Linked DNA regions of Bombyx mori. The protein of the gene in region 1 interacts with the protein of each later gene in a pairwise test. Links are inferred from orthologs where the notes say so. Each region holds a gene or a part of one and is shown on either strand. Other genes may lie near its edges. The genes, in order: PAH and RpS10.

What was found.
Region 2: the proteins of PAH (region 1) and RpS10 interact in a two-hybrid assay, tested with the Caenorhabditis elegans proteins (2 studies listed by BioGRID). The link is inferred for Bombyx mori from reciprocal best matches to the Caenorhabditis elegans genes pah-1 and rps-10.

The regions. Positions count from the first base shown.
Region 1 is NC_085107.1:20,091,797-20,108,159, forward strand, and holds the start of PAH (phenylalanine hydroxylase), read left to right. Parts: upstream 1-9,445; 5' UTR 9,446-9,474; coding exon 9,475-9,531; intron 9,532-10,229; coding exon of another isoform or gene 10,230-10,277; intron 10,278-14,684; coding exon 14,685-14,988; intron 14,989-15,195; coding exon 15,196-15,555; intron 15,556-15,723; coding exon 15,724-15,986; intron 15,987-16,131; coding exon 16,132-16,361; intron 16,362-16,363. Other genes in the region: ATP synthase subunit gamma, mitochondrial, read right to left, coding at 2,798-3,012, 3,656-3,747. UniProt on the Caenorhabditis elegans protein: Catalyzes the hydroxylation of L-phenylalanine to L-tyrosine. Catalyzes the hydroxylation of tryptophan to 5-hydroxy-L-tryptophan. Plays a role in the biosynthesis of a melanin-like cuticle pigment.
Region 2 is NC_085119.1:6,716,630-6,732,585, forward strand, and holds RpS10 (ribosomal protein S10), read right to left. Parts: upstream 6,867-15,956; 5' UTR 6,840-6,866; exon of another isoform or gene 6,746-6,839; intron 6,665-6,745; 5' UTR 6,653-6,664; coding exon 6,453-6,652; intron 5,665-6,452; coding exon 5,418-5,664; coding exon of another isoform or gene 5,334-5,417; exon of another isoform or gene 4,972-5,333; coding exon 4,936-4,971; 3' UTR 4,909-4,935; downstream 1-4,908. Other genes in the region: NADH dehydrogenase [ubiquinone] 1 alpha subcomplex subunit 9, mitochondrial, read left to right, coding at 1,240-1,401, 2,385-2,574, 3,172-3,351; splicing factor 3A subunit 2, read left to right, coding at 7,813-7,966, 8,041-8,304, 8,498-8,865; uncharacterized protein LOC101737912, read left to right, coding at 11,125-11,158, 11,457-11,644, 12,127-12,245, 12,336-13,797, 14,216-14,362, 14,575-14,799.

The DNA.
Region 1 (16,363 bases):
TGATTGTGTACAAATTGTCACATTTAAATGTCGACATGGAAGAAACCTGAGACCCGAATTGAGAACCTCGTTGTTCCTTACGATTAGAACCATTGCATTTCCTTTCCACTTGAACAAAATGAAATATCTCTATAGCTTTTCAGGACTATATAGCTTTTGGCTGACTCGGTGGTGGAGTAGTGAGCAGCCCTGGCTGTTGCGCCGAGGGTTGTGGGTTCGGTTCCCACATCGGGCAAACGTTGACAGGTTTGTTTGCACTTTGCTGGGTGATTATTATAGTTATATGTTTAAATTTATACATATAACAACAGACTAGACAATAAAGTAGATGCACTTAACTTTTATATTAGACTGACGGTCTGAGCATAGGTAGCTAACTAATATCGTCTATTTGAATTCTTCTAGCTCATCTAATCTGCCTTATTTCTGTGCTGAGTGCTGACTTTCAGCTAAACATTATGTATATCTATGTATGAAACATTATGTACCTATGTTTGTATGTACAAATCGCTCCTTAAAACTTACATTATTTATATATTATTTAGATCGTGTGCACCAAAAGAGATCGAATGTTAAAGTACAAATAAATATCCACAACATTTTATGCTGCACAATGATGGCAAATACATAATGTGTGATTGCCTATTGGATTATTTTTTCTCATCATCGGCATAATTAGCAGAGGCAAGTGGCTGTACTGTTTAATGGAAATTACACTAAGAATAATTTCCATTAAACTTAGAAGAAATATCTTTAATTTAATTTTTATCATTATCATTCATAAATCATTTTTATTTTATCATTTTTTCTTGTAAAAGTCGTGTAACATTCTTCATCATTCAGTTCTTAGGAAATATTCATTCTCAAGCAATTGAGACATTAGGTGGAGGTCTGATGATTATGGACGCATGTGGCATAAGGTGGGGAATGAGTTCATTTGATCATCGACATCAATAAAAATAAAAATCCCAGTCTGATAACCTCGTCTATCTGTAAGTGAGCCGCAGGTCGCGAGCCATCAACGCGAAAACTTATATGTATTTTTAAAGGCTGTGCCAAATTTTGCGGCATTGACATTAAAAGCTGTTTACTGCGACTCATTTTGTAGTAGTGTGTTTGTAGTGTAAAACTTAGACTACAAATTGGAATAAAGTATTAAATGTATTGTTTATTCGTTTTGTTATGGTGATCAACTGTTACTGTAATCTGTAATACACTTTTTTTTCAAATACATATTATTATGTATATTTTCAGCTTGAAAGACCATGCAATAAAAAGAAACAAATACGATCTTACGAACGAGATAACCAAAAAGGGACGTTATTAGTTTGTCCAGTGAAATCTCTCTATAACCTAACTGAGTTGTTATGAACACCTTGGGTTTTTATGAAATTTCGTATATTCTATACTTGAATGGACATCCAGGTCGCACCAGTAGTAGGTGAGCAAGGAGAAGTATGCGGAGAATGGAGTTGAGCGTAATGCGCATTGCTAAGGACCTCTTGAACCTACACTAAGGTCGCAAATCCACTGGCATTCTTCGTATCAATTCCTCTCTCGGACTCGATGGATCCGGCACCCGTACGGTGAATTCATATATTGCAAAGAAATTCGTCTTACATGAGAAAATTAATCAACAGGACGAATGTCCGTGGTGGTCTAATCATGAAGAGATCTGATCTTTATCTGATGATTCGCAAGTGAAGTAAATTGTCCCTTCGCAATAGCGAAGAATTTAAGGGACAAGGGTCGTATGCAGGTTTTGTAGGTCCAGAAAGGTCCAGTCATGACCTATGCAAGTGTAGTGTTCGCTCACGCGGCCTGCACTAACTTGAACTCCTTCAAATCATTCAATCCCGTTTTTGCAGGATAGCCGTCAGAGCACCATGGTTCGTGAGAAACGTGGATATCCTTGATAGTATGGAGCTGGACTCTATCAGTAAGTATCTTCAGTCAGCATCAGTGCGCCATTTCGAGAAAGCGGCACGACACGGACACCCTTTTGTCCTGGCCGCGGGTAAATACATACCCGATCTTGCGAATCGAATGGTAAACAGTTGACTTCGCCCTAAGCACGTCATTACGGATCCTCCCGATCTACTGTGCTTTTAGGTACCTCAAGCACCGGTCACCGTTCTCGTCGAAACCGTTGCTTGCAACGGAGGGTTCGGCGAGTAAATTAACCCAGAGACACAGCCCACTGAGTTTCTCGCAGGTTCTTCCCAGTGGGTTGCGTTTCCGATCCGGTGGTAGATTCTGCGAAGCACTGCTCTTGCTAGTGTTAAGAACGTCCCAGGTTAGAGCCCCGTGAGCTTACCTATTCGCTTGATGACGCTGGCATAGCCCTCTAAGGCTATCAACATAGATAGAAAAAAATATTCAAAAAGTCCTGTAGCTAATTCAATACAGGGGTCCATTATTCGTGTCACCCATCCAAAATTTAATAAATCTGTTATCACAAGGTTTTATTGCGCAGTGACTTCGAAGGCTTCGGAATGGCTTCTTTAAGAAGTTGGTTCGTATTTGAGTCAACAAGAAACAGATTATATAATAACATAGAAAAAAATTGATTCTCGTTAACAGCATTTTCAAGACAAGCTTGCGTATATATTTACAAGTTTCGAATAACATTATACATTTTCTGTTCACTTTGTAGACGTCGCCCTATACACGTGTTTATAGAAAACAATATAGTTAATTACATGCTCTGTGATAATAACCGCTATAATAATACTAAGCAAAAAACCATGTTTCCATATTTGAGCATGAATTTTAGTTACGAGCAACTTTTAGATACCTCTGTCAGACGTCATAGCTATATAAATCCTTTTGAGTTTCTTTTGGGCCTCCTGGTCTTCCGGTTTCTCCTGCACTGGTTCGGGGACAGCGGCGGCGTCTTTCTTATCTTTGCTGTCCACAGCCGCCTTTATCAATCGAGAAGATTCGTAGAACTTCCTAGGGCCATAACCGAAAGGCCTCGCTGCTTGCAGTTCGCGTTCTGCTTTTGTAAACCTGGGATATCACAAGGCCGCCATAAACAAAGGAAAAAAACCGATAAGGAAATGACTGCTTGTGTCCTGTTAAGGTATTTAACGTCATCTGCACGGAAACAAAAAGTACAACAGTAAGTAGTACGATTTATAAGAAATCAATTTTAAAACAGAATCTCTCTTAATGTTGATCTTGGGTTATTTTTTTACTGCGACGACATAATATGAACGAGCTCATGACCCATCTGGTGTTAAGTGGTTACCGACCCCTAATACATCACAACGTGAATGACAACTCGAGACTTAAGGTAAAGTATTTAGTAATGACGCATATTACAAATTTTCCTGGTTTGGTTTTTATTACACGATGTTATATCTTCATTTTTGGAGTCATTCACGAACATGAATTATTACGTATTTCAACAGTGTTTGGTCGTTGTCAGCATCTCCTCTATTTCTGACATTGATGATCACATATAATTGAGACCAAGCCATCAATATAGTGCGGATTAAGCAGTCGCTTAAAACAACATGGGCCGCAAGCTCGATAATGACCGTCCATCTAAACTTCTAAACCATCAAAAAACTTGTTTGATTTCTATTTGATTGAACAGGTTATGAACAGTATAAATCGTTACTAGTTCCAAATTGAGGATAATGTTTACTTGCTAGCGGAAACCATTTTCATAGTTTTGGTAATCTTCTGTATGTTTTTTATCGATTTTAATCTTAGGGACACTTGTTTCAACTGTACCATTGTGTGTTTGTTTTTATTAAAACTTTGTGGAAATGTTGAAACGATATCCTATTGATCACAATTTTGACACATAATGTCATTGTGTTGATTTCGAACTTTTTGTTATAATTAGGATTTTTTCAAAGAAAAATGTTCATTTATTTATTACATTTGTTGCGCTGCATGCATTTTTATGATGCAAGATTTAATTGCTGGATAATTATCATTAGAACTCACTACTTCCTCCTACTCACTTCTGTCGTGACTTTTTAACATTAAGATATTCATCATACAACAGAATTCAGATTGATCTTTTTTCTTATTGTGGGTAGTGTGGTTAACACTTCGCATGATCTATCTATCAGACTACAGGTCCAGTAACTTCTAAACATCAGGTCGGCAATGAGCTCATCTCTTCTTCTTTTTCTCCACCTTATCCCACTAGGCGGGGGTCGGCACAGCTTATTTTTCTCTTCCATTCTCTTCTATCAGCCGTCATTTCAACACTCACTGATGATGAGCTTGTATGCTGCAATGAGCTTATCTGCCTATAAGTAAGTCTATAGACAAGAAACGTACTGGTCAAGCTCATAGTTATCTCTGAGACAGTGCATACACTAGACGACGAAAAACTTACATTTCAAGCATCATATTCTATGATTAGTGAGAGATAGAGAGCTGTACTGGGTGAACAAGCAAGCCGTGAACGTGACCCTGGATTATTAATGTTCTCCAACACACATATATGTATATTAAATTGGTGCACTGAATATAACTTCAGTTTCCCGACTGTGTTGTGTTTTTATTGTCATGATTCGGTTCTCATGTGCCGCAGCAGAATTATCTAATTCATGTACTATATTATATACCTAATCAGGTCATAAATTCTGTCACGTGTTTAATGTAAAATAATTGAAACAAGTTTATTCATTATGTAACCATTCATATACCAAAATGAACTTAACAAAACATAGATTCTTATGACATTAAAGCTTATTCAAAATTACCTCCGTGATTTTGAATACAGGCCTTCAATTTGCGCGGCCAGTCGTCTATCGCAGCACGAACGAGGTGCATGTCAATATCGGCGGCTGCCTTAATCAAGGATGTCTTGAGTGACTCCAAATTAGGATGAGGCTTTGAGCACGCCTTTTCCTCCAAGTGTTGCCATATCTTGTAATCTAACGGATTCAAATCTGGACTGGAGGAGGGCCAGTCTTCGTGCCGGATGAAGTCGATTTTACGCGCCGCCAGTCAGTCTTGTGTGCTCTTCGCTCTATGAGCTGGCGCCGAAACTTGTTGGAATACCCAGTGCCTGTTATTGAACATGGTATGAGAAACAGGTTCCACGAGGTTCGTCAGGACTGTATTTTGATACACAACTGCATTCTTTTTTACACCTTTCTCACAAAAATGTACCTCTGTTAAGCCCCAATAAGAAACTCCCAACCATACCAAGAGCGAGGATGGAAAATGACCTCGTTGGACACGCGGAATACGGTCGCTCGCTTCTTCACTACTGTGTGCGTACATCTTATCATTTTGTTTGTTGTAGCTCTCTTCTACGGTAAAAATTTTTTCATCCGAAAAAAGAATTTCCCGATATTTTTTACCGCGTACCGCTTCAACAAAGCGCGGCATCTCTTCAGTCTCAGGTCCATTAGACGAGCATTTAAACGATGTCCTGTTTTTCTTCGATATGCCCGAAGCCCTAAGTCTTCATTTAACACCCTTTTCACCGTGGTTCTGCTTAACCCCATCTGAAGGGCCAACAGTTTCTGCTTACGTTTGGGATTTCTTTGAATTCGCGCCTTCACAGCTTTTATCACTGCTGGAGTCCTAACAGACCGAGGGCGACCACTTCTTGACCTGTCATCTACACTAGAGTCTTCATTGTATCGTTTGATGGTACGATAAACGAATCTTTTGGTTATATTCAAATTTTTCAGTATGTTAAAAATTTGAATTGGCGCGTAACCGCAACGATGCAACGCAATAACTGCAACACGGTCTTCTTTAAGCGTCCACTCCATATTTAAAAAAGAGTAAAATTCTAAAAGTATACATTTTTATTTTCATGAACAATTCGAAATTCGAATTCAATAAAAAAAATTGTGGCCAGCATTCTAAAAGAAAAGTTTTTACTGTGTGATAATACTTATGACCTGACTAGTTATATATTGAGCTTTGATGTTCATGTTCTCACTGTACACCGGCACACAGCATAATGTTGTACTGTTAAAACTGAGACCTTAGAACCGTATCTCAAGGTAGGTGATGGCATTTACGTTGTAGATGTCTAAGGGCTCCGGTAATCACTTAATATAAAGTGGGCCGTGAGCTCTTCCACCCACATAAGCAATAAATAAAAAATAGGCGCCCATCTTGAGATCAGAACGAATAGCTTCCTGGGAGCAGAAACGATCGCGTTTTAGTGATTGTTGTACGATATGACAATATCACTATAGTATTCGATAGATCTATTGGGCACATGTCGTGGATCCTCAGGTACAGACCTGAGCTTTCCAGTAGCCGTTCAACAAGAGGTGGGCCGTGAACTCCTGTCTGCTTCTACTCTTCTACGTCAATAAAACAAGGATGCTATGATTGTGGTCAAATTGCGAACAGCACTCAACGTCGAGGATGTGACGTGCCACATAGCTATACAGTTTAGTTAGTTATTTTTTTATTAGGCACACAATACACATTACAAGCTAAAAATATACATAAAAAACACAAGTAAAAAGAAACAAAATCTGGCTTGCCACAGTAGCAATGTGTGCACGACTAAACAAGACAAAGTGCTGAATTTGTACACAATGTTCCTTACAACTATACGACAAAACAACACGATAACGAAAACTAATCTAACATAGAATGTAAGGAAATAATTTTATTCACAATACACATTTAACAATTACACTACTTAACCTATTATTAACTTGGAGGATGCCCTTGAGCATTTTTATAAACGTCACTAACCTACAAGTAACAATATCCAACTCAGTTGACGACTTTGCTAGTTCGTTATAGTTGCGACACATTCGGGTAATTGGATTATAATATATTGTTAATATATGATATATTGTTATTATATTGTATTATTATATCATATATTGTAATTATTTAATAAAACATGAATCGACTTATTCAATCAAAACAAACAGAGGAAGGAAAACCGTGTTATGACGTCACTCTGTTTTGTGATACAGCACCTCAGAGATATAGCGGGCAGCTCGGCTCAAATGGATCCCGATGATTTTGTTTGTCTGCAGGCAATATCAATAGTGCGCTTGTTCCGCTCGTGACTTCCACAAACGTATGTATGTAGTAGTTCTACCGCAATATTAGTTCCGTGTTCGTATGCTGGGACAGTACGTCCATTTATTAGCCTTTTTATTTTAGTCCTTTTATGTATTACTAGCGGCACGCTCCGGCTCCGCTCGGGTCTTTTACAAAAATTTCAACGATATTTGACGTTGTTTTTAAAAATAAAAGAACACTTATTGCGGCATAACTCTAATAGTTAGACATAATATGCTGTCCTGACACTTTTTGTAAACAATAATGTGTTCTACAATTATTACATTATTTTATTCTATCACTAATAGTTTTCGCAGGTCACGCGATGTAATGAATATTTTAGGTATTTTTTTTACACCTTGGGTTACATTATTGGAGTTTTAGTAAGGATAATCCCCCATTTTTCAAAAAAGATTATAGCATATGTCACTCGGGAATAGTGTAGCTTCCAAACAGTGAAAGAGTTTTTCAAATCGGTTCAGTAGTTTCGAAGCCTATTCAATACAAACAAACAAACAAATCTTTCCTCTTTATAATATTAGTATAGATGTTTCCGTCTATACTACATAATTTAAAAATTCAAACTTCGACGTCAAGAGCGAGAAATTTTTTAAAGTTAGATTTATTAAAGTTTTTAGATTTAAAATGTCAATTTGGTGCTATGAATATTAATAGCCAATGCACCGTTAGAGTTGATATTTGCGATTTTAAACCATATTCGAAGGACAGTAAAAGCCACTTAATCAAGTTTAAATATATTTTGTGTTTATGGAGTTACGTCACCGACTTATGAACAGAGATCTTTTAACAATTATATTCCAATTTAATTTATTGTAGGTCGGGTAGCTGTTAAATTGCAATGGAATATTCATCATGATAATCGACTCGGGTTAATGGGATTGGCTGGGATCAGGCCGCTCTGAGCTGTTTAAATCCTCACTATTTGTTTATGCTTGAATAGCTCATTATGTTATTACCTACGTGTATCTCAGAGCACATTGAGTATGTATCGGCTGTCGACACATCAAAACTGACAAATTTTCATTGCAATATAAAACACACAACACATTCAATACATAATAACTGTGTTACTAATATCCGGTTTTGCGTTTCCAATGCATCGAGTTTTACGCGGCGCAGTAGAACCACGTGCAAAAACTCATTATGACCTTCCAAACGCGAACCTGTTACAATTCAAGTAAAATACACAACGGGTTCTTTATGTTTAATGTAATTTCGATAGTAAAAAATCTTGCAAGGAAAACTTAATGAGAATAGAGATGATTAGTTCTTATGTGCATGGCGGCATTGGTTTTTACGTTTATTTTACCTAAATAATCTATGATAGGGGGCTAAATAAAGAGCCTAGTAATGTTTGATGAATGCTTAGGCCAACTCCATTTTGTCATAGGTACGTTGGATATTTTGATGTTGATTTTTATATTGGATATTTGCAACTTTGAATGTATTATAGTATTGTGGGGCCACTCAAGTCAGGTTTCGCTTCATCGGAATTCCAAACTTGTTTTTTTTTTTTTCGTCCGAAAAATTTACGCACGCCAACTTGTATGTATCTGTTTTTTACAACACTGGTTTTAATTTAATTTTACTGGTGGTAGGACGTATTGTGAGTCCGCACGGGTAGATACTACCACCAAGCTTATTTCTGCTTTGAAGCAGTAGGTAATGCGTTTCAGTTTGAAGAGTGAGGCAGCCGTTATATTGTAAAAACCGATACCTTAGAACTTATGTCTCAAGGTGGGTGGTGGCATTTACGTTGTAGATGTCTATGGGCTCCGGTAATCACTTAACATCAGGTGGGCCGTGAGCTCATCCACCTGTTTAAGCAATAAAAAAATAAAAGTAAAATAAAACAATATTTTAGATGAAAATCACAGTATAATCAACCTAGCCAAGAAATTTCATGTCTGGCCAAAATAATGGAACTCTAGAACCTTCAAACGCAACTTGACAGATCTATTGCAACGTTGTTTTTTATAAAGCACAACGATACACGAAGCTTAGCTCGACTTTTGGATGCGTTTATCAAGTCTTTGTGTTTGTTGGTGTTGTCATAAGTACTATACAAATTATTTTAAATATTTATGGCCTGCTGAACACTGATAGTTTTATTAAACCGGTATAATTTTGTTATTTCATTGGTTAGTCGTTTAAAACAACAGAGGTCAAATTATTTTGAAATAATAATATTTCAGTAAGCAATAAACAATACTTGCACACAAATAAAAAACAAAACATTAAATCCTGAAGTCAAAGGTCGTTTTAGAATCTAAACAACTAAACGTCGTAGATACCACATCCATATTTTACGAAGTCGAATAACGTCAGAGCGTTCGCATATAACAGGCTGCTAGTCGGCAAAGGTTTGTTTACATAAGTCACTCACGCTGAGAACACACGCCTCTTCCAGCAACAGAAAAAGAAATGGACATCACGGCGAAGCAAATTGAACAACCCACGTCTGGCTCGCCTCCCGACAAGGTATGAAATTGAATTAAAACTGATATTAAATATAAACATATCTGTCGAATTTTATGCAGGTAATACTAAAATTTATGAGCGCGCGCACTTGCTAACGTAGAATAAAAATATTAAGCGACTTATCAAACTGTTTTTGTTTCGTCTTATGACGACATTGGCTCAATCACCATCTGTCATTTATTTTATTCAGTAAATAGATCATTTAGATGTCGATTCTAACATATTTCTGTAAATAATAGTAATTAGCTAGTCAATGGAAAAGGTAATTACTAAGTTAACTTAAGTTTTTGACGTCGCTTATCAAATCTGGAGTGAGACAGGACATGTCACGGTAGCAAAAGTGTCTAAAGCTGGATAGATTCTGTCATTCCTGGCAATGTGGGTGTTCTCCAGTGGCGGGTGGTGCGTTAACAAACGTGACATGACAGAAACATGGAAAACAAAACCATAAAACATTCGGCAAAATTCACGGGGAGAAGCAAAGATTAAAATTCAAATCTAGATTAACGTAACGTTTCAAATAATTGGTGGAATTACAGTTTTATTTTTGAAACTCACTTAAACTGTTTTTTTTAAGTTTGTTACTACTTTTGTCCGTATTGATATAATATACTTCACCAATTTTTATTTTTCTCCTTCCTATAGATGCTTGCTGAATGGGATTTCTATATAAAATATAGTTAATCATTTATTTTTAGTGTGCATGGGACCACAAACAGTGCATGACATCAGAAAAGATGAAAAAGGTAAAACGCATGTTTAAACGCGTGTTTCTGATATTACAGCTAGGAGTGCTCTGATATTATTATATGCTTTGCTACTAACTGCTTTGGGATTTCATATTCTGACCTTTTTTTTTACGTTAAATTTTTTGTTTATGTTTTTTATTGTATGAGACTCAACGTTTTGAAGAAACACGTATATTAGGGGCAACAACAATAAAATGAATTTAAGGGTATTTAAAAAAAAAATTAACCTGTAGATATAAATTAGCAAATACAATGCTTAGCTTGCAACGACTGTTTACCTGTTAACTCAATCTTGACTAATCGAAATTTTGTTGAGCACAAATAACAATTGTATTTAACACTATAGTTGTTTTCCTGCTATTTGACATTACAAAGGGTACTTCGGTTCATACCTAATAATCGTACTTAAAATTTCCGACCTGATTGCAACCAGATAGGCAGGATTACATTATGCAAGGAAAAGTAACGGCGAATGCTTTTTTTGGCAATTACATAGATTCCATTAAATTTCATTGTAATAAAAGTGCAAACGAAATAGCGGAAGTATGTAGTCTTGTTTATTTAATGAAATTGATTGCATTACAATTGTTTTTAAAGTAAAAAAAAAACCGCTAGTGCTGAAGAAGAAATTTTTAATAGATTTGAGTAATTCTATGACCAAATGAATTAGAACAGCTTGAACAAGACTACGTTACCTGTGTTAGAATAAACAACCTCTAAATTTTACTTTTCTTACTATATTTCGGTGTTTATCTAACTACGCATTAATATGTATCTAGTAAACACGCAACCGGTAGCGTAAATTGATTTCAAAACTAAATTAAGACGCCAACTTAAAGCCATTGCAATTCTTGAAATTTTAAAGTAAGTTTTCCTCGAGTCAATCATTGAGGAGTAAACAATTTAAATCAAATAAAACACATATTTGAGTTTCATAGAAATTCCAATAACTTTAATTCACTTAATATTCGTCTTCTTCTTCTTAAGCATCACACATTGCTTTGTGCAGCGTGTGTGTAGGTGTGTTTTAAACCAGCTTGGTATTGCATTATTGTCTATTTCTTCCACCACACAATTGTGTATTTCAGCTTAAATGTAAAAGTACTATACAAGTTTAAAATTGCAATCGACAGCTTACGTTTACTTAGACCGGTGGCCTTCGAGCCTCTTCATGACTTTCGGTATTTGCACGTCATGGAGTAGTCATACTGCACAATTATTAATCTTAGTCAAAATAAATAGTAACTTTAAAACGTTACTAACGCTAAAAGTTTCAGTTTTGTCTGTCTGAGGCTAAACTTTTCTAACTTTTACGCAGTAACATTTTGCGGCGTCGTTTCGCATAAAATTTATCTACAACGATTATAAAATTAAATTAAAAATAAGAAAACCACACGCAATAAAAACAAAACATTGCTTTTATTGTTAAAAACATTGTGATAAGCGGTGTAATTGCTTCTAGATAATATATGTGTATTCAATTAAAATATTTTTTTTTGTTGACATTTTGCGAATTGATTTAATTATCTCCATATCTGCTGATATTTTAGCGAATCGTAGCTCTGTTGATTCTTATTCGACTGAGAGAGACAGTGATGAATTTTGTTTTTTGGAAATGGATGTTAAGTTCGGTACTGTACCGGTCTTTATTGATTTACAATGTTAATGTACTCGCTTGTTCATCATTAATACATAATTAAGTACTTCTTTGCAACACTTCGATTGCATTTCGAAGGCAAAAGGTATCGCTGCAAACATTAAACTGATTTCTGCAATGAGATATGGAGAATGGATACGGAAATATAAAATGTGACCTTTAAATTTGACACGTTTGGAATTTAATAAGTAGGTATGTTGGATAAATGAAATGAATACTAAAGCTAAATCTATCGGTGGAAATGTTCAAGAAACCACACAATTTTGTTATTAACTGCATAAGTTTATTATAGGTTTGATGTCGGTGTTACTTTAATGTCTTTGATTTTAAAATTAACGACTGTTATATCAAAGTACCAGCGACCCGCTCTCGCTTCGCTTCGGAAACTATAATTTATTATTGATTTCTCCACTATTTAATGGATGTTATTATACATATAAACCTTTCTCTTCAATCACTCTATCTATTAAAAAAAACCGCATCAAAATCTGATGCGTAGTTTTAAAGATTTAAGTATACATAGGGATATAGGGACAGAGAAAGCGACTTTGTTTTATACGATGTAGTGAAGTATAGTAATCGGCAAACTTCTTGAGCAAATGACCTTGACTGCGCAGAAACGAATTTTAGATCACTTTGGTGGTGAGGGTGAGGCGCGACGGCAGGGGAAATCGTATCGAGCGCGTTATTGGTAGATCAGTTGAACCTTGCGTCCCGCACCGCGCCCTCATTCCGCTTGCTCCCAAAAGTACGCTTGCGTTCAGTGGAAAGTCTATCGTTATTAATCGTTAAGTTATTTGTTATAATTGCTTGTGGACTTTGTTGCCATTGCTATTTGTTGAGTGTTTGTTGATTTTTTATAAAACATACACTATGCCGTGACAAACTGGTGTAGTACTTAAAAGAAAGGGTAGAAAATTTGTGTACGACGTATATTGCTTCATTATAAAACAGGGGAAGAATGATATGGAAAAATTAAAACATACTTCGGAACCAACAAAAACATCAGTGAGTACTGTTAGGTGCATTATTAACGAAGCTAAAGGCTCTGGCTTGCTCGCCGTGTTTCGGACTCCGGGTAAGAAAAGATCAGGGAAGAAGAAAGTTACCGGAATGGATAGTTTCGTTCAATCTGTAATAAAAAGATGTAATCATAATAACTACATAACAAGCAGCGAAACTCCGTACCGTAGAAAGGCTTCGAAAAATTTAAAGAAGATATAAATTTTAATGGCTCGGAATGAAGCTTACGACGAATTATGAAAGAGCTAGGCTTCAGATGGAAAAAAAGAACAGAAAATAATCGGAAGCTGGTAAATGAAAAAAGTAACATTCGATTACTACGAATCGAATATCTTCAAAAAATAATTAATTATAGACAAAAAAAAAGACCGAATCGACCGAGTTGTAAACTACGCCGATGAGCCCTATGTCGACTCATCACGATGATAGCGACTCGGGTGATGAAAACAGTGATGATGATGATGGTCAAGATTATGATAACGAAAAAAAAATTACAAATACCAGCTTCGCTTCAACTGAACCAAGACCTGGCAACAGCTCTAGTTTTGACTTAATAGAAGGAATATCTATTTTACCCCAAGATTAAATTATTACAATTATTAACCTATATGTTTTGTTGATGTTCTAATAAATATATAAATAAATATATATGTTGATTTTAATAATTTAATAGCATTATGACGCAGAGTAAGTAATGTTTTTGCACGTGAGTGTACCATGCGCAAACTTACCCCCACTACGTCAACAAATGCTCAAGAAGTTTGCCGGTTATTATACCCAGATTGAATATTTTAAATTTTGTTAATTTACCAGGCAAAATATATCTAGAAGAACGAGTTAATTTTTTATTACTTTGGAAGTAGTCGACCTGCTTGTGACTCAGCTGTTCGTGACTGTTCATAGTTTAAAACCTCATAAACGTGAAAATAACCCTCTAAGAAAGAAAAAAAATCTCGTAAAATACTGTACAAACAAATAAACCGTTGAATGGACGTATCACTGATGACGACGACGCGGAGGTTATCGGACCTATTCCAGATTGACCTCCGAGAAATAGAACAAGAACCTTATCTATTTAATTACGAGCTCCCGATAACGCCGGATGTCACAACGATTCAACTGTGTTTGAATATTTCTCAAACTTATCACTTGTGAAGCATCCAAAAAGAATTAGTAAGGGTACAGTTAATCACGACGATACCATTGGCTTGTACAATTACTATAAAATATTGATCACGCCACTGCGTCTGTACATCAGACCAGTTTGATATTATGTCTTCGTTGAACACAAAAAAGGATCTAAGTTTTTAAATACATTCATAATATGTATTTGATCAATAGTATTTTAGGTGAGTTGTTCTCGAAACTGAAACAGCAGTTAACAAATTGATAGAATATCTACCTTTTCTATCATTAAAGTAAATAAGTTTGTTGTATCTGCGTATTACCTCTCCGTTCTCTTTCGTCCTTTTTCTATAGCAGAGCGCGTCTAACAATAGTGTAAAATTGTCTTATAGATTATTGTAACATTTTCTGGCATTACCTACTTACGAACCATAAGCTTTATTAAACAATTGAACGACACTTCTATACTGAAGAAAACTTAGACGTTGTATTTCTTGAGTTTGGTGGTGGATCAGCTTTTGCTTAGATAGGTTGGCCTAGTAGAGGCAGTCATTACGTAGTGGCTACCTAAATTAACATGTCATTAACATTGTCAACAGCCAAAATTGATGGAAGGTGGCAACTACATCCGCGAGGGTCGTGATTCTACCAAATCAACTTGGCTTCTGATTTCACCAGTCGCACCCGACGAGGCTGGCTCGTTAGCCAGATATTTAGGCATTTTCTCTTCTCATGGAGTCAACCTCAGTCACATTGAATCCAGATCTTCCACAAGGCGTCCAGGCTATGAGTTCATGGTTGAATGTGAACATGGTTCTGGAGATTTCGGAGCGGCCCTTGAAGAGCTGAAGAAGAATGTTGGATACCTAAATATTATTTCGAGAAACTATAAAGATAATCGATGTGAGTGCCTTCTCGTTATCTATTTCCATGACAAAATGACAAGATTGTAGAAATAAATTAATTTCACACTAACTCCTTTTCAAAAACAAACACAACGAAAACTTAATTTGCTAAAATACAAACTTTGATATCCAATCAAGCATTTATGAACGTTTCAACATATCGAGAAAATGCAATTCACTTATAAAAATGGACTAATTGTTTCAGCCGCTGTTCCTTGGTTCCCACGTCGTATCCGCGACTTAGATCGCTTTGCCAACCAGATCCTCTCATACGGTGCCGAACTGGACTCTGATCACCCTGGATTTACCGATCCTGTTTACCGCGACCGCCGCAAATATTTCGCCGACATTGCATACAACTACAAGCACGGAGAGCCTCTGCCTTATGTGGAGTACACCAAAGAGGAGGTGGCCACCTGGGGTGTAGTTTTCCGGAAGTTGACAGAGCTCTACCCCACTCATGCCTGCAAAGAGCACAACCATGTCTTCCCGCTGCTGATCGAAAACTGTGGTTACAGGGACGACAACATTCCACAATTGGAAGATGTTTCTAACTTTTTGAGAGGTTGGTAACAAGCAATTTGCTGTCTTACTTACAAATCAGTAAACTTGTAGCTGTTTCTACGTCATTCTTTGGAGTAAGCTTAATATGAGAACCAAAAATACTATAATTCCTCCAATACAATATGTGTGGAAACCAATGTTAACATTCGTTATCTTTTATCATCACCAGATAGCACCGGCTTCACTCTGCGGCCCGTGGCAGGACTTCTCTCGTCGCGTGACTTTCTGGCTGGACTTGCTTTTCGAGTGTTCCACAGCACCCAGTATATCAGACACCATTCAAGACCACTCTATACTCCGGAACCAGACGTGTGCCACGAATTGCTTGGACACGCCCCGCTTTTTGCGGATCCCGCCTTTGCACAATTCTCTCAAGAAATTGGTCTTGCGTCTCTAGGAGCTCCTGATGATTACATCGAGAAACTAGCCACGGTAAATAACTCAACAATATTGTTTAATTTTAGAATTTCAAGCTAAGGTATTTATCAGAATTTTAAAATGAAAATATTTGTAAATATGTTTTATGTGTTCCTTCGAATGGATATTATAATCAATCATTGTACTATCCTCATGTCAGTGCTTCTGGTTCACGGTGGAGTTTGGTCTGTGCCGGCAAGAAGGTCAACTAAAGGCTTACGGCGCCGGTCTACTGTCGTCCTTCGGCGAGCTACAGTACTGTCTCTCAGACAAACCTGAGTTGAGAGAGTTTGACCCCGAGTCTACCGGGGGTACCAAGTATCCCATCACAGAATACCAGCCCGTCTATTTCGTTGCTAACAGCTTTGAAGATGCCCAGGAGAAGATGATGT
Region 2 (15,956 bases), on another chromosome or scaffold:
CTGACACCACAACAACAATCCGTTGTCTGTCCATCTATTTTTTTTATTATTAAATGAATTAAAAAGATATATATTCGATTTTTCTAATGCGATGAGAACTGGCATAATAACAAAAAGTAATATATGATGAGCTTCCGTTTCTACTGTTCACAATGCTAAAGCGAAGCATCTTAGGTATCGAAGCGAAGCATCTTCTCTTACATCTATTAAAAGCGAGTAGGTGCTCTCAGACTTGAAATGTGGGACAGCTGTACAACAAGGGGTTACAGGAATATTGTTAGAAAATTACTCAGGTATTTTACGATTTAAATGATTAATTATATTTTTTAGAACTATAAATCAACAAGATACTTTTAACAAATGTATACACACACATACATATAAAAATAAATAAAATTCTAAGTCAGTATTAAGTTATGTTTTCAGATCATTCAGTCTCTTCTGTATGTCCAATTTTCTACCTTAAGAATAGTCCTTATTGTTGAAGTTGTAAAATTCAATGCAGCACCAATTTGAGATTGACATTCACCAGTATCTAAACTTCTAATTACTTGTATTTTAGTATCTAGTGTAATGCTTTTTCCTAGAATTCAAATCAAAGAGCTTTAAACCGAAACAGCGTTAAACGGGGTTTTATAGTAGTTAACTATGCGGCCTCGGAATTATTTCCCCTGCTCAATGTATCCTGAGCGCTATGACAAATCTTTCTTCAAACGAGTACTCAGCGATACTTCGCGGCTCTATTGTTCCTGAGGCATTGCTGACATCCATGAGCAACGGTAACCACTCACCATCAAGTGGGCTGTTTGCTCGTCTGCTTACAAGTCGTCTTTTCGCATTAAAAGTGTACAATTTCCTAAAATATTCGAAATTGAGTTAATATGCGGATCATTTGGTATCACCAGTATTTTTCTCATAAATATGTACTGTCAAAATAGCGTAGTTTAGTTTTAGTTCTTTTTTTTTTAGTTTACCCATGTTTTGACTACTATTAACAAAATTAATACATAATTTTATCCTACTTTAAAAGAAAGATAATGTAACTGGTAAAAAAAAAAAAAAGTTGCAAAAATGATTAATGTTAAAAATATCACATGTTAAAGCTTTAAAACAGTCTCCTGTAAAATTAGTAAGTTTTGAGATTATACAGTTTTAATGCGAGAAGACGAAGTGTCACCGTCATGTCGTGGATGTCGACGGGCCTACCGAACTATACCGATATACTGCAACTATTTTCAGGTCATTAGTTAATAAGATGCGATCTCACAGCAACCTGATGCCCCTCTATAAAAACGGATTAGCGACTGTGAAACAGCCTGTGTTTGTGTCGGACGTCGCTCAGGGTATCGTGAACGCCGCGCGCGACGACGACACTAAATGTGAAGTCTACCAAGCCGTTGGGTGAGTTCCATCTTAAATATTAAACGCAGAATACAAATAGTTTACAATTACAGCAGTCTTGTTTTCTGGTTTGAAGGACGAGCTATACTCTATTCCAATTACGAAGTCCCTTTTGAAACTTCTTAGAACGTAACACCGGTCACTCACATGCGCACGAATACGCAAACCCGCAAGTGTAGGACGACATTTGCAAATGATTATGCAAAGTTTTCGCTGCATTAGTGGTTTTCCAAGCTGTGTCGGTTTTTTAACAGACATCAAAGCGCGCGAACCGCGAACCTCGCGTAGTCTCCCACACATTCGTGTGACCAGTTGCGCCCAGGATTGCGAAGGCAACGGACGTTTCGCTATTTTCATAGATCGTGACGTCTACTGTGTAGCGTATCTTCATCAAAAGAAATCCCATAAAAACAGCATGGCTGTTAATGATATCTGGGAAATAATTCAAAACTCTTTTTTTCTTCAATGTTCTATTGACGAATTAAAAAGGAGGAGAAATTCGTGAGACATTCGTAAACAAGTGTAGGAGGAAGCGCAAACGGGTTCGCAAATTGAGTACCGAACCCATTTGCACAGCCGCTAAGTTTGCGAATGAACGTTTGACGAATGTACGAATGTTGTACGAATGTTTGCGCGCATGTGAGTGGCCGGCATAACTCTTTACGTTTCGCATAATTTGAAATAATAATCATTTTTTGTTCATTGTCGTAAACATCATTTAAAAAAATACACAATGAATCTAAATCATTACACAATTAATTCACACACACAAGAACATAATAGTAACATCTGTCTCATGGGACTCCGTAATTGGAATAACTGTTATACTAAACAATTGAGACTAAGACCTCATGACTCAAGGTTTTTGGCGACATTCGTGCTATGATGTATTGGCTCCAATAACCACTTAACACCATGCGCGTCGTGAGTTCGTTCAAAACAAAAAAAAATACGTTACAATTAAATCCTTAATGTGTTTTCAGGCCAAAACGCTACTTACTTGCCGATTTGGTTGATTGGTTTTACAAACTAATGAGGAAGGACGAAAAATGGGGTGGATACATTCGCTACGACATGAAGTACGACCCGATACTGCCCCTGAAAGTTGCTTTGGTTAATGCCATTTCACCAGCTTATCCACTCGGAAATCTTCACTGGGAAGGAATTGAAAGGGTAATTAAAATTAACTTATCTGATACAATCAAAATATATATCTTCTATATATGATTAGAATATTTGGTTTATCCGGATGACTGTCATGTTTCAGGAAATCTATACTAATATATAAATCTACAGTGGTTTTTACGGATGTTCCGTTATAACTACTGGACTGTGCATCCGGTTGACTTGAAACTTGGTATCCATGTAGAAAGTACATGTACTTAATGGATAGGCTAATATTTATATTAGTGTTGGACTCCCTACACCAGTTGCGGGGGCGTTAATGATGAGAATTTTTGTGGGTGTGAGAAATAATGTTAATTTTAAATGCCCAGCGAAGCGGACGGGTACAGCTAGTATTTCATAGTATTACCAACGTTAGACAGGTGTCGCACGAATAATGTCTGCAAATCAATATTCTGAAAAACATTATCATTAAATGATAATGACAGCGTGGCTGTACGGCCCTATTAATAAATTTAAATTTAATTATAGATGTAACTAAAATTTTCACTCCTTTCTGTGAAACGCAGCGCATATCACACAAAATACGCTTTGAATTTTCAGACATTGTAAAAAGTCGAAATAATGTAATGGTTTGAATTACAGGAAGCTACTTCAGATAATGTGGTGATCGGCGTGCCCACCCTTGAGGATTTGGGCGTCACCTTGACGCACATGGAAGACCAGGTTCCGTGGGAACTGAAACCTTTTCGCGCCCATCAGTACTACATGGATCGGCTTGGAGAGTTCCCGAAACCAGACCCTCCACCAGTTTACTCAGCTTGAATTGTTTTTATAAATAATAGCTACCTCTTGGATAAACTTTATGGGCGTGTAGACAAAGTTTAATAAATTACGTTCATAAAATAATTATGCTTTGGATTTTATTAAGAAACTAGCGACCCGCCCTGTCTTCGCTTCGAGGACTGTAATTTATTATTGATCTTATTGAATATTCTTTTATACAAATCTGGTCCTGACAGAAACAAACATTAAAAAAAGAACGTAGGTAATAAACAAAAAATCTAATCTTTCGTCTTCTTAAATTAATGGTCCACTATATTGGCGATAATGGCTTACAAATAAACGATAGTTATATGATAAAAAATTCCATTTTACATATTATGGTATATGTAACTCAAACGGTTTTTACGACGCACTCAAAAATAGATCGCACATGGCAGTTTTTTCCTTTTTATTTGACACTTAACATTTTGGGTAATTCGCACAACATTTTTATAAATTACTAGCTGACACGTCAGACTTCGTAGTGCCTCCATTGTTAAATAAAACACCTAAGCTTTTGTATAAAATAAACTTAAAACAAACCAAAGAAATCCGTATGACGGGGGGGAAATAAAAAAACAAAATTGTTATTTTTATTTAATTCCAAGCATTTTCATATTTATCTACCTTTTAAACCTTGTCTGGACTTCCACAAATAATTCAAGACCAAAATTAGCCAAATCGGTTCAGCCGTTCTCGAGTTTTAGCGAGACTAACGAACAGCAATTTTTTTTTTTTTTCCTACCTAACCTGGTAGCCTTGAGAGGCTATTCCAGCGTAACCCTAACGTTTGTAGGTGAGCTCACGGGGCTCAAACCTGACGACGATGCTAACACGAACCCTAGCAAGAGCCGTGCTTCGCAGAATCTACCACTGGATCGGAAACGCGACCCACTGAGAAGATTCGGCGAGAAACTCAGTGGGCTGTGTCGGAGTTAATTCGCTCGTCGAGCCCTTCGTCACAAGCGACGGGTTCGACGAGGACGGTGATCGGGCAACCACTAGAATAAGCTCACGGTATATGCAAGAATCACTAATCAAATCAATGAGGCAGTTAAGTACTACTATATTGCTCACAAGGATTGAGAAGGAACTCACACTAGTTTCTTAACATGCTGAATGCTGTGGCCCACCAATGGGCCTAGTGTACTATACCATTCAGGCCAAGCCAAAATCAGGGAATTAGTAATTTTTATCAACTTCAATTCGATAATTTGCACGGAAGGTAACAATTAGCAACTTTTAGCGCCTAGTTCTTAAGACATTTTAAAATAACTAAAACTTTCTATTGGATTTGAAAACAAAGACATTTGGCTCAGTTAAAGGCCGCGCGGCTCACTTCCGTACGCGATTTGTTTTATAGCTGCAATCTGTAGCTTGTTTACGTAGGTTACGTGTGAAGTGTTTACGTAGTGATGGGTGATCCTCATGGCCCGAATGGTTCAGTAAGATAGGGCTCAGCAGACCATCAGAGTACTTTCAGATACAATCAGATATTATGAAATATATATATTTTTAAATACAAAACTTAGTTCCATCCAAAAAAACACCATTGACTTATTTTAAGTTTTTTTATTGCTTAAATTATGAAGCAGGCCTGCCACGTCCATAGCCTCCCTTCTGCAAATAGAAATATTTTCTTTGAATAATTTAGGCAATTAATATTTAAATATAATAAAACACAAAGCAACAAAACTGGTTTCAGACATGCTTTCTTCTCAACAAAACAAGCAAATTTTGTTGGTTTAACCCGATGGGACCTGTAGTTATGTGATAAACATATTTCAGGATTGTTTCAGATCATAAAATATTGTCACAGACCCTCTTAAAAAGTCTAAAACTTTTTCGAAAAGAGTACCAGGTAATCCAACATATTTAGTTAATATACATACAATACAACTAGTTCAAACACATTAATGAAGAATTACAAAAATAAATTTGTATTTTCATATTATAAGCATGTCGGATAACAGGAGTAGATTTTACTGAAGTCTACTGTATGTTTCAGGTGCTTGTAACTTTTCAATCCAGTCTACAATTATACGGCACAACAATATAGGACTTACAAATTCAAGATCAGCTGAGCCTGGACCAACATCAGCCTTTTTATCATGAGGTGCAACACCAGGGGCAGCAGGAGTACGTCTGTATGCAGATCTGTCCTCAGCAGAGCGGGCTGGGGCATCAGGACGACCAACAGGGCCACGGCGTACTGTCTCTGTACGTACTGAGCGCTTAAGTGTTGCAGGCACAATTTCAGGAGGAAGGTGCAAGAATATTCTCAAGTATTCAATACCCTCATTGGTTAGGTACCTGAAGAAAATTTTAGAAAAAATATTTATAAAAATTAAGGTTAGACAAAGAAATAGTAGATTTTATTTAGTGCCCAGATGTGTTTAGGGGTCACTAGATCCCATAAATATAAACAAGAATGCCATTTGCCTTAAGACATGAGCTCAGTCTCAACTTTATAGTGCAACAGGTGTCCCCCTCCCCTCAAACTGGAACCCAGATGAAGCCGGAATACAAAGGCGGTTTACAAAATACCCCAATACCAGTAGAGTTCAGATTGAACACTTAGAGAACACCAATATCCATTTTTCACTAAAACCTTAAGTTGCAATTTATGAAATCCAGAAGAGATGCAGTGTTGATATTACGGGTTGACACCACACAAGACACGATATGAGAATTAAATAATCCATTGAAAAGGTAAGTGATCTAAACAAAAATGTCTAAAATCAACAACATCAGATGTTTAAAGGTTGGTATTTCTCTGAAGGTAAGCAGCTTTTTTTTCAGATTCGTCATTTTGGTTGACAAAAAAAAGTTATTAGTGAAATTAATTTAATGCGCCAAACAATTCATATTATTATTAATGTGTACTCTATTGCACACCTAAACAACAGACATTGATTGACAGATATAAGTTAATCTCAATATTTAACATTCTCAACAAATTGTTAAAAGGTATAAAATATTAGTGTTTATATTAAATTAGTGTAGTTGATACAGAATTCTATGAGAATCGTATCATTACATTAAATCTATGAAAATTACGACAAATAATAGACAACACATGAAACATAATAAATATCTACCAGTAAAAGTGCCTCCAGGCAAACTGTTCTTTGACATAACCTCTGGACTTGAGTGATTGCATAGCTTTGATAACTTGGAGGTTAGGAATCTTCTCTAGTTCAGTATGCTTCGGTGCATGATAGTCTTTTTTGGCCACCATGACTCCCTCTTTAAAGAGGTACTCATAAATAGCAACACGGTTTTGTTTGGGCATCAACATCTTGAAAGCCGCCTAAAACAACAAATTATTGGGTTAAGACATACAAGTGAAAAAAACGTAGCACTTCTTGAAATATATTCATCACAAGATTACGCAATAACTTTTTTCTTCACTTATAACACTTATAATAAGTAATATGCACTGATTAATGTATTTAAGATCGATTTTATAAGAAAAACTGTACTACCTGTAGGCTAACTTAACACAGAAAAGAGCAAGGGGATTGAAGGGAAGTTTGTTGAAAGCTGTCAACTGTCAAATAGCAATCAATCGACAATCATCAACTTTGAATTCATACAGCCAAATCTTTTGTAGGGAAGACATAATATGAATATTAACTGAAATGTAAAATTGGAATGAATGGAATGAAATGACTAAAGGAAACGAAATTCAATGAGATGTTGTGTGTGTGTTTATATGAGCGCGCGCGTGCATGCATGTGTTAAAGTGAGTTTCGTCGAAATGAGGTTATTTCATTTAATTTCATTGAACACCTACAAATGTTTTACATCCATGTTGTTTTATTTCCATTAAATAGTGTCCGACTAACTTTTCATACTCGTACAAGAGACATACTTTAAGCGCTTACTACAGCAGATTTTGCTTGTAGTCAACATATCGTTTGTAGTAGCATAAAAAATGAAGAAAATTTATCAGTTACTTCATTTACTTTCATCCCAATTGATTAAAGTCTCAGATTACAGATTTCGTTTCGTTTCGATTCATGTCATGCTTCTTAATAATCAACTTCATTTCATTTCATAATATCATTTTTCATGGCCGTTTTCCATTTACCATTATTTAATGGTAGTTTTCTAATTACACAGAATAATCCGACTCAGTGACGCACAATGCCGAATTATGCGGAAGCTTAGTTGAGCATTATGCCGTATAATGCGCTCTTGTGCTGTAATTGGAAAACGGCCCATATAGAGAAAAGTTTTCATTAAAATTAAAATAAGACTTGACCTAAAGGTCTTAGTAACCAGGTCATAAAATCCCTTAAAAAAAATCAATTCATGTCATCAAATGTCATGTTAGGTTATATTAATTACAGAGCAGACTACGAATTTCAATTTAATTTAATGTCAAAGTTTAACTACTTTGTCAACTGGACAATTAATATTCTAAGCTTAAAATAAGTGTTACTTTTAATTAAAATGGATTTTCAAAATCGCCCTGGCGGTAAAACTGGTGGAGGAGGTGTAGCGTCATGGTCGGAAAGTAACAGAGACCGGCGGGAGAGATTACGACAGCTTGCACTAGAAACAATAGATTTAAACAAAGATCCATATTTTATGAAAAATCATTTAGGTGAGTAATAAACGTTAGTTATAACTTCAACATGTTAACCTCGTTCACTTCACAAACGTAAACTTCATTTTTAGGGTCCTATGAATGTAAACTTTGTTTAACCCTGCATAACAATGAGGGAAGTTATTTGGCTCACACGCAAGGGAAGAAGCATCAAGCCAATTTGGCACGTAGAGCTGCAAAGGAAGCCAAAGAAGCGCCTCAACAGCTTGCCCCGGAAAAACCTAGAATTGAACCTAAGAAATTTGTGAAGATTGGTAGACCTGGTTACAGAGTAACAAAACAGAAAGATCCTGAAACTGGACAGCAGAGCTTGCTCTTCCAAGTAGATTATCCAGGTACAGTCATTTCAATGATTATGAAAAGTGAAATTGAAATAAAAGTAGTTTAAATAGGTTTTCTTTTACAATTATTATATTTCTAATCTTTTACTCTTTAAAATTTATTTTAAGTCATTTAGATGAAATAATTCTTATTAACCATACTAAAAAGAGGAACAGATATTCAAATGCTGTGTAATATTTTTTTTAGAGATTGCAGAGGGTGTTATACCTAGACATAGATTTATGTCTGCTTATGAACAGAAGATTGAGCCTCCAGACCGCAGATGGCAGTATTTGTTATTTGCAGCAGAGCCTTATGAAACTATTGCATTTAAAGTCCCTAGCAGAGAAGTTGAAAAGCATGATTCAAAATTCTGGACTCATTGGAACAAGGACACAAAGCAGTTCTTTTTGCAGTTTGCATTTAAGATGGATCAGTTACGCATGCCTCCCCCCCATCCCAAAATGTGGGAGGGTCATAGCATGAGGTTGCCTCCACCTCCTGGAGCACCGATGTTGGGAGTACCACCGCCACCACCATTATTACCAGTGCCCCCACCACCACCCTCTATGTAATTAGTTGATATTTTTCCAATAAAGTTTTTGACATACATTTAATTTAATTTCATTAATTAACACTCTTTTCTGTTCAATTATGGTCTTTTTGTACTTTAATGTCAAGATGTTTTTAAACGAAAATACAAAAATTTCCAATATACATAAAAAAAATTATTGCTAACGATTGTGTCTTGACTTCAATTCCTGTAATAGGTCACCAGTAAGTAACCCTTAATGCCATGTAGGATGTGAGCTTGCATTCCAAATAGTCTTTTGATACCTACTTTGAGTTTGTAGGAAGTGTGATTAGCATAATAATGTAGCTTTTAGGAATGCGTTGGGTATCTTATCCTCTTGACCATGATGACTTTTCTTAAGAATCCTTAGTAGGAACATATTACTTCAGTCCTGGGTTTACCTAGTTCTACCTCCTTGGTGTGTTTAAATGTTATTTAAAAAAAGTGTTTAGAATGGTAATAAAAAGGGAGTTTTTCATTAAAAGATATATATGTCATAACTATGATAAAAGCTTTTTCTTTTCAATTTCGTACAAATATCTCAATTCCAATTTGAACAACTTATCTTTGTCTATGTCTTTTACAAATCGTTTTCACACACTCATGGTCGCAAGTTAATAATCTTACCCCGTCCTTATGGTACTAATTAAATAGTAATAACTACTAAATAAATAAAATAAAACTCAGTGTTGGTAAAATGAACATGAATCGGCAAAATTTGATGTAGCCATTTTAATAATAATCATTCTTGCTTGACTACCTATAGGTTCTTTTCAAATAAACAACTAATACACCTCGCAAACTCACTACCTTTTTTTTTTCGGCGCGGAGGCCGAACCTCCTACGAGGTTCCCGCGCCTTGGGGGCGCGCGGGGTATGTGGGACTTGACGATCTGCAAGGTGTTGGGAGCAGACCGCGGGCCCAAGGAATTTTAGGGCTCTACCGCACTAAACAACTCCCCTGCACTCTTACACCCGACGTCCGATCTCCGTCCGGGGTCAAAACCCGTCAGAGTAGGGGGTTCCCGCGGTCAACACTACAACCAGACACGTGGCGCCACAACATAACACAAATGTACGTAATTACAATTTTACATTTTTTTTCTTACCTAAGCTGATATTCTCTCAAGACCATATCAGCGTCACCGACCGAGTAGGTGAGCTCGCGGGGCTCAAACCTGACGTTGTTGCTAACCCGAACCCTCGAAAGAGCCGTGCTTCGCAGAATCTACCACCGGCTCGGAAACGCGACCCACTGAGAAGATCCGGTGAGAAACTCAGTGGGCTGTGTCTGTGGGTTAATATACTCGTCGAGCCCTTCGACGGGTTCGACGAGAACGATGACCGGTGCTTGGAGTACCTGCACCGTTGGTGGATCGGGAGGATCCGAGATGACGTGTTTTGGGTGACGTCGACTGTTTACCATTCGGTCCGCAGGATCAGGAATGTAGTTACCGGCGGCCACGACGGGAGGGAGAAGAGAGGATTTATCGAAATGGAATATTACATAAACAATACCGGAATCAACTGTAATTCAATTCAAAATACATATTATCTATATAATTGCATCCCCCATCGGCCGTTTCTCCCACCTATTCGCTCGTAGCCTAAGGGGCTATTTTAACTGCTCGCCAATGACGCTGCCTTATTGACGCTAATTCTAACTTAAGCACGTTAAAACGAAATTCGAAATGTTGCAGATAAAAATGATGAACTCTTTAGTTAAATATTTTATAACATAAAAAATTTAATTTCAAATTTTGATGCTGCCACGCAGTATTTTATGCCCTATCAAAGGATTTACATTATTATGCCCTATGTATGTGTAATGTAAAGTGAATTCAAAATCAAACAGTCGAATAATTTGACTTAGATTTCTGATTTTAAATCTCGTTTATTGTTTAAAATCTATGATTCTGCGTGGCACGGAACGTATTTTAACGGTTCGTTGCAGCTGTTCGTTTGTTGAATAGATATTATTGTTTATTATTACCAAGCGTCAATGCATAAAACCAACCGTCCAGTTTCCCGCGCCACATCGCAGTTCTGTTCAGTTCTCGGTTTCGGTCCAAGTCAAATTCCTTCTCTTAACTTTATAAGCTAGGTATTATAATTAACTGTCCATATATTAAACAGTTAATTAAATACATATGTAATACGAAATCTATTTTATTCATTAATAATTTAATACATTAACAGATCGTTCTCGTCGTTCCGGAAAACTATTTCCGAAGAACGCGATTCTTCAAATATATTCAGCATGTTTTCAAAAGCTAAGCGGTTTGAACCACTTGGTAAGTTTATTCACTACAGTTTAATAATGAATAGAACTAATAAACTTTCCACATTTAACGGTCCCCGGATACAATTTTCTACTATACCATAGGCACCGGAAACACATTTATAAGTCAAGAATATGTATCACGAATAAACAAAGTTACTGACTCAGACTGGGAATCGAACTTGGACTCGGTAGTAGAGCGATCCAACCTACTAAGCTAGACCAGCGAGTGTGATAAATGTACTGTAATTTATTTTGTTAAAGCCATAAATTTATTGATTCCTGTTTCTAAAAGTGCTTTAAAATTCCAGTTGCCCAGAAAAATCAAAAGAAGACAAATGTACATAAGAAATTAGATAGTGAAAGTACTAAAATTAATACGAAGACATCATCAAGTTTGTGCAAAAGTCGCAGTAACACACTCAATTCTATTAGACCAGTCGATGGGCAGTCTCAATGTAGTAGTGTCCAAAGTAGCAAATCATTAAAATTTGCCACAGTAAGTACTGTTTAAACTTTTTTACATTATGTTTTTATTGCAAATTCCCTGTTTGGTACAAACATGTAAATACCACATACTTGGCCTACTCCTTTGCAAAATTATTATAAATTTCTTCTACGAGTAGATAGCTATATGGTACTATAACATGTTTGCGAGAAGCTGGAATAGCCCCTTAAACTACCAGTAAATATGTAGGGAAAAAAGGTACTGTCAGCATTATTTTAATGCTCAATATTAATTGTAGTAATTGTAACATTATATGCCCTAGCTCATGTACTTATTCACTGTATTTAAAAGAATTTTTGACAATGGGCTAGGTAGTAATTGTTTTTTAACTTAGTGACAATATTACCACATTACTGTGCACATGCAGTTGTGGGTTCAGTCTTTATAATGAAATGTATGAAAAAGTCGTCAATTGCTGTGTATAAAATATGAACAAACATAATATAAATTATAAGCGAGTTAATTAATTTCAGCCCAAAGCTTTCAAAATTACCAAAGCTCCTAACAGCAGCATTAAGAAAACATTAACATGTCCCAAAAATAAAATATTACCACAGGATGAATTAGTTCAAGCACAAGATGTTGAAATAAGGTGAGTCTTGTAAATAATTATTTCAATTAGCTGATAAATTCACTTGATCTTAAAATTTATTTAGTATAATTAAATACTATTTTATTTCAGAAATAAGGACCAAACCATATGTGAGTATAACAAGCAAATAGAAGATTACAAAAATGAGATAGCTCAACTTCAAGAAATTTTAAAAGAACTTGCAACTAAATTTAGGCAATCTCATAACAATATTGATTTCAATGAAATTGACAGAAAACTTTCTAAGCTTAGAATTAATAACACAAATTGCCACACGGAACATAATGCTGTTCAAGGTACAGACGCTGAGAAAGTTTCTGCCATGATAAATGATATGAGAAGTAGGATTATTGAACTTGAAAAAAAATGTGAAGCACTTGACAATGAAGTGTATGATAAGCAGATGGAATTGTCATCACTGGAAGAAGTGATCACTGTAAGAGATAGTTTGTGTAAAGATTTACAAGAAAAATTAACAAGCAATGAATTAACATTAGCTGAAACACAGCAGAGATTGGAGATGGTTAAGGGACACCATGCTTTGGCACTGGAAGCTAATGAAAGTATCAGGAGAGAGTACAAAATAGAATTGGAAGCTCTAAAGACTAAATTGGATGAAGAAAAACAAGCCATTATCAGTAAATGTAAAGTTGATCAAGAAAATCTTAAAACAAAACATAATGCATCAATTGAATCCTTGAAAAACCAAATGTTAAAAGAGAAATGTGAGGCTTTAGAACAACTCCATAGTCAATTGATTATTAAAGAACAGGAAATGAAAGCGAAACTTGAACAAATTGAGGAATCTGCTAGTGAAAAACTTAAAATATGTGAAATACAGTTTGAGGAGCGGAGCCAAAGCATTCAAGAGCATTGCTCGCAGCAAGAGAAAACTATACAATATTTGGAACAAGAGATAAAAGAGTTAAAATATACTTTAGATTTAACCAACAATCAGAATTCCGATTTGAAACAGGAATTGAACAATTTGAAAAATTGTAAAGATGAATTGTCAACTGAAAAGTTTAATTTTATTGAAGAAATAAAGACTTTAAAAGATGAGCTAATTGAGAAAACTATTAACTATGAAAATGAAAAGAATAAATTAAATCTTGCAGTGGAAAAAGCTATCAAAGAGAAAAACAAATTTGAAACATCTTTGTCAGTAACAAGAGATATTGTACACGTTTTAACATTGCGATTGCGAGAATCTGACAGTGAATTAGAACAATTGGAAGACCAAGTACAGATGTTAACAAGTGCAAAAGAAGTGTTAGAAAATGAATTAACTACGTATAAAAATACTCTAAACAACACTGTCAGAGAGTGTGATGAGTATAAAGAAGCACTAGTTAACATTCTAAAATCAAAAGCAGCCCTTACCAAAGAACACACTCGTATTATGGAACATAATGTTACCTTAATAGAAAGTTTACAAAATGTCGAGAAAGAAGCATACAGAGAACTTGGAACCATAAAAAATGAACTCATTGAAGATGTTGAACTATTGAAAAAGGAATCAAATTCACAAATTAAATTTCTTCGAGAAGAGGTATATTTATTTAGTATAAATAGGCTGCAGAATAAAGCATATGTCGCCTTTTCGCATTAAAAGTGTACAATTTCCAAAAATATTCGAAATTAAGTTAATATGCTTAAACATTTGGTATCACCAGTATTTTTCTCATAAATACTGTCAAAAGAGCGTAATTTAGTTTGTGTTTTTTTTTAGTTTACCTATGTTTTGACGGCTATTAACAAAATTAATACATACGTTTATCTTACTTTAAAAGACATGATGTAACTGGTAAAAAAAAAAAATTGTTGCAAATATGATTAATATTAAAAAAATTACATGTTAAACCTTTAAAACACTCCTGTAAAATTAGTAAGTTTTGAGATTATACAGTTTTAATGCGAGAAGACGATGTGTGTATTACAAAAAAATATTAATAATTACACTTTTCAAGGTCGAGAAAAAGCGTGTATTGTGCGAAATGGCTACAGAGCATGCAGGCCAGGCCACTGCGGCCGCAGAACAATCACGAGTGTTGCTCGCGCAAGCCGCTGCGGATTTGTCGCGCTTAGAGAATGAAAATGAACGATATCAGCAACAGGTAAAATATATTAGCCAAGGTGGCATTTTTGAAAAACCTCTTTTTGTTGTTAGATTAATTAGTTAGCTACTACTTTTCAAGGATTTTAAGTAAAATTAGGATCGTTAAAAATAATTTGGCAATTCTCGACCATCTTCTGGTTTAACGACAATTTTTGTGGTTTATCTTCTTATTTTGGTTAAAAAAAAATAAAGATAATACTAACTTTTCAGATACAAGATCAGCAATCATTGGTTGTCGAATTATCACTGCTGCGCCAAGAAAATGAAGAATTGACAATGACTGTTGCTAAACAATCTTCCATTATTGACAAGTTGAAAAAAGATTTGGAACAATCTCAATACACTCCGAAATCTCCATCAGTTTTGCGAAAATCACTCAAAGTCGGCAAAGAAAATATGCAAACAATATCTCCATTGAGAGAACGAAATCTTTAATCTATTTTTTTTCTTTATTATTTATCTGACTTATTTTTATTTCCATTATGACTTCAAAATTTATTAATGTTAAGAAAAACTCAAAAATATTTTTATCTACCTACTCAATGTGTAATTTATTAATCGACCTGTTTTAAACTGAAATTAGAGACAACGTGTTAAAACTACACTTAAGTAGGAAAAGTTTTTTATTTATTTATTATAGTTACAAGCTATTTATCGAAAAATGTGTTTTGTTTGTCAATTGTGCCTTTATAGACTGCATTAGCTTAAAATTAAGTTTTTATTTGTTAGTTTAATTTATTTGGTGTGATAAATTATTAAAAAACTAGTTGTCATTTTATTTTATTCTAATCATTTTTACTCGTATATTAATGTTTTTGAAATTCCATCCAATGAATACGACAAAAACGCAGTTATATTACCAGGATCAAAAGGGATCGCCCTCCCGGCACCACTCCGGTAACTTCATTTCCTCTATAAAAATCTTTGGTCACCCAATGGCCTGACTCTCCAAGTATCTAGGCGTCACCCCGGACAGAGTGATGATATTCGGCACCCACAACGAAATAGTACGCGACCGACCCGCGTCCTACTCGATCTACTCTACCCCATGATCTGCAAGCGAAGTAAATTGCCCCTTCGTAACATGGTGACTACAAAATTTGCATATGTTCCGTCAAGACTTATGCAAGTGTAGTGTTCGCCCAAGCGCTCCGTATTGTACATTATCATCAAGTCTTCGAATATCGTTTCTGCAATACAGCAGCTGTGGTACATAAAAAATTACGATCTTCATGACATTCTAAATTTAGAACTAGTAAGCATAGATTATACACTTAATCTAGTAAGTATCTTAAGGTAGCGGCAGAATGCTATCGCAACAACGCGGCGGGACGCGATAACCCATTTATCGTGGCCATTGCTAATTAGATATTCGATCCAGGCGACGGAACTACGTAAAGTCGCCGTCGACCGAAACATGTCTTGGTGCATTCTCCAATTCCGGAATTCGACGAGCGAACTAAGCCGTAGACATAACCCAGTTTGAAGTCGTCGTGGCCTAAAGGATAAGAACGTCCGGTGCATTCGTGTTGAGCGATGTACCGGTGTTCGAATCCCAGGCGGGTACCTATTTTTCTAATGGAATACGTACT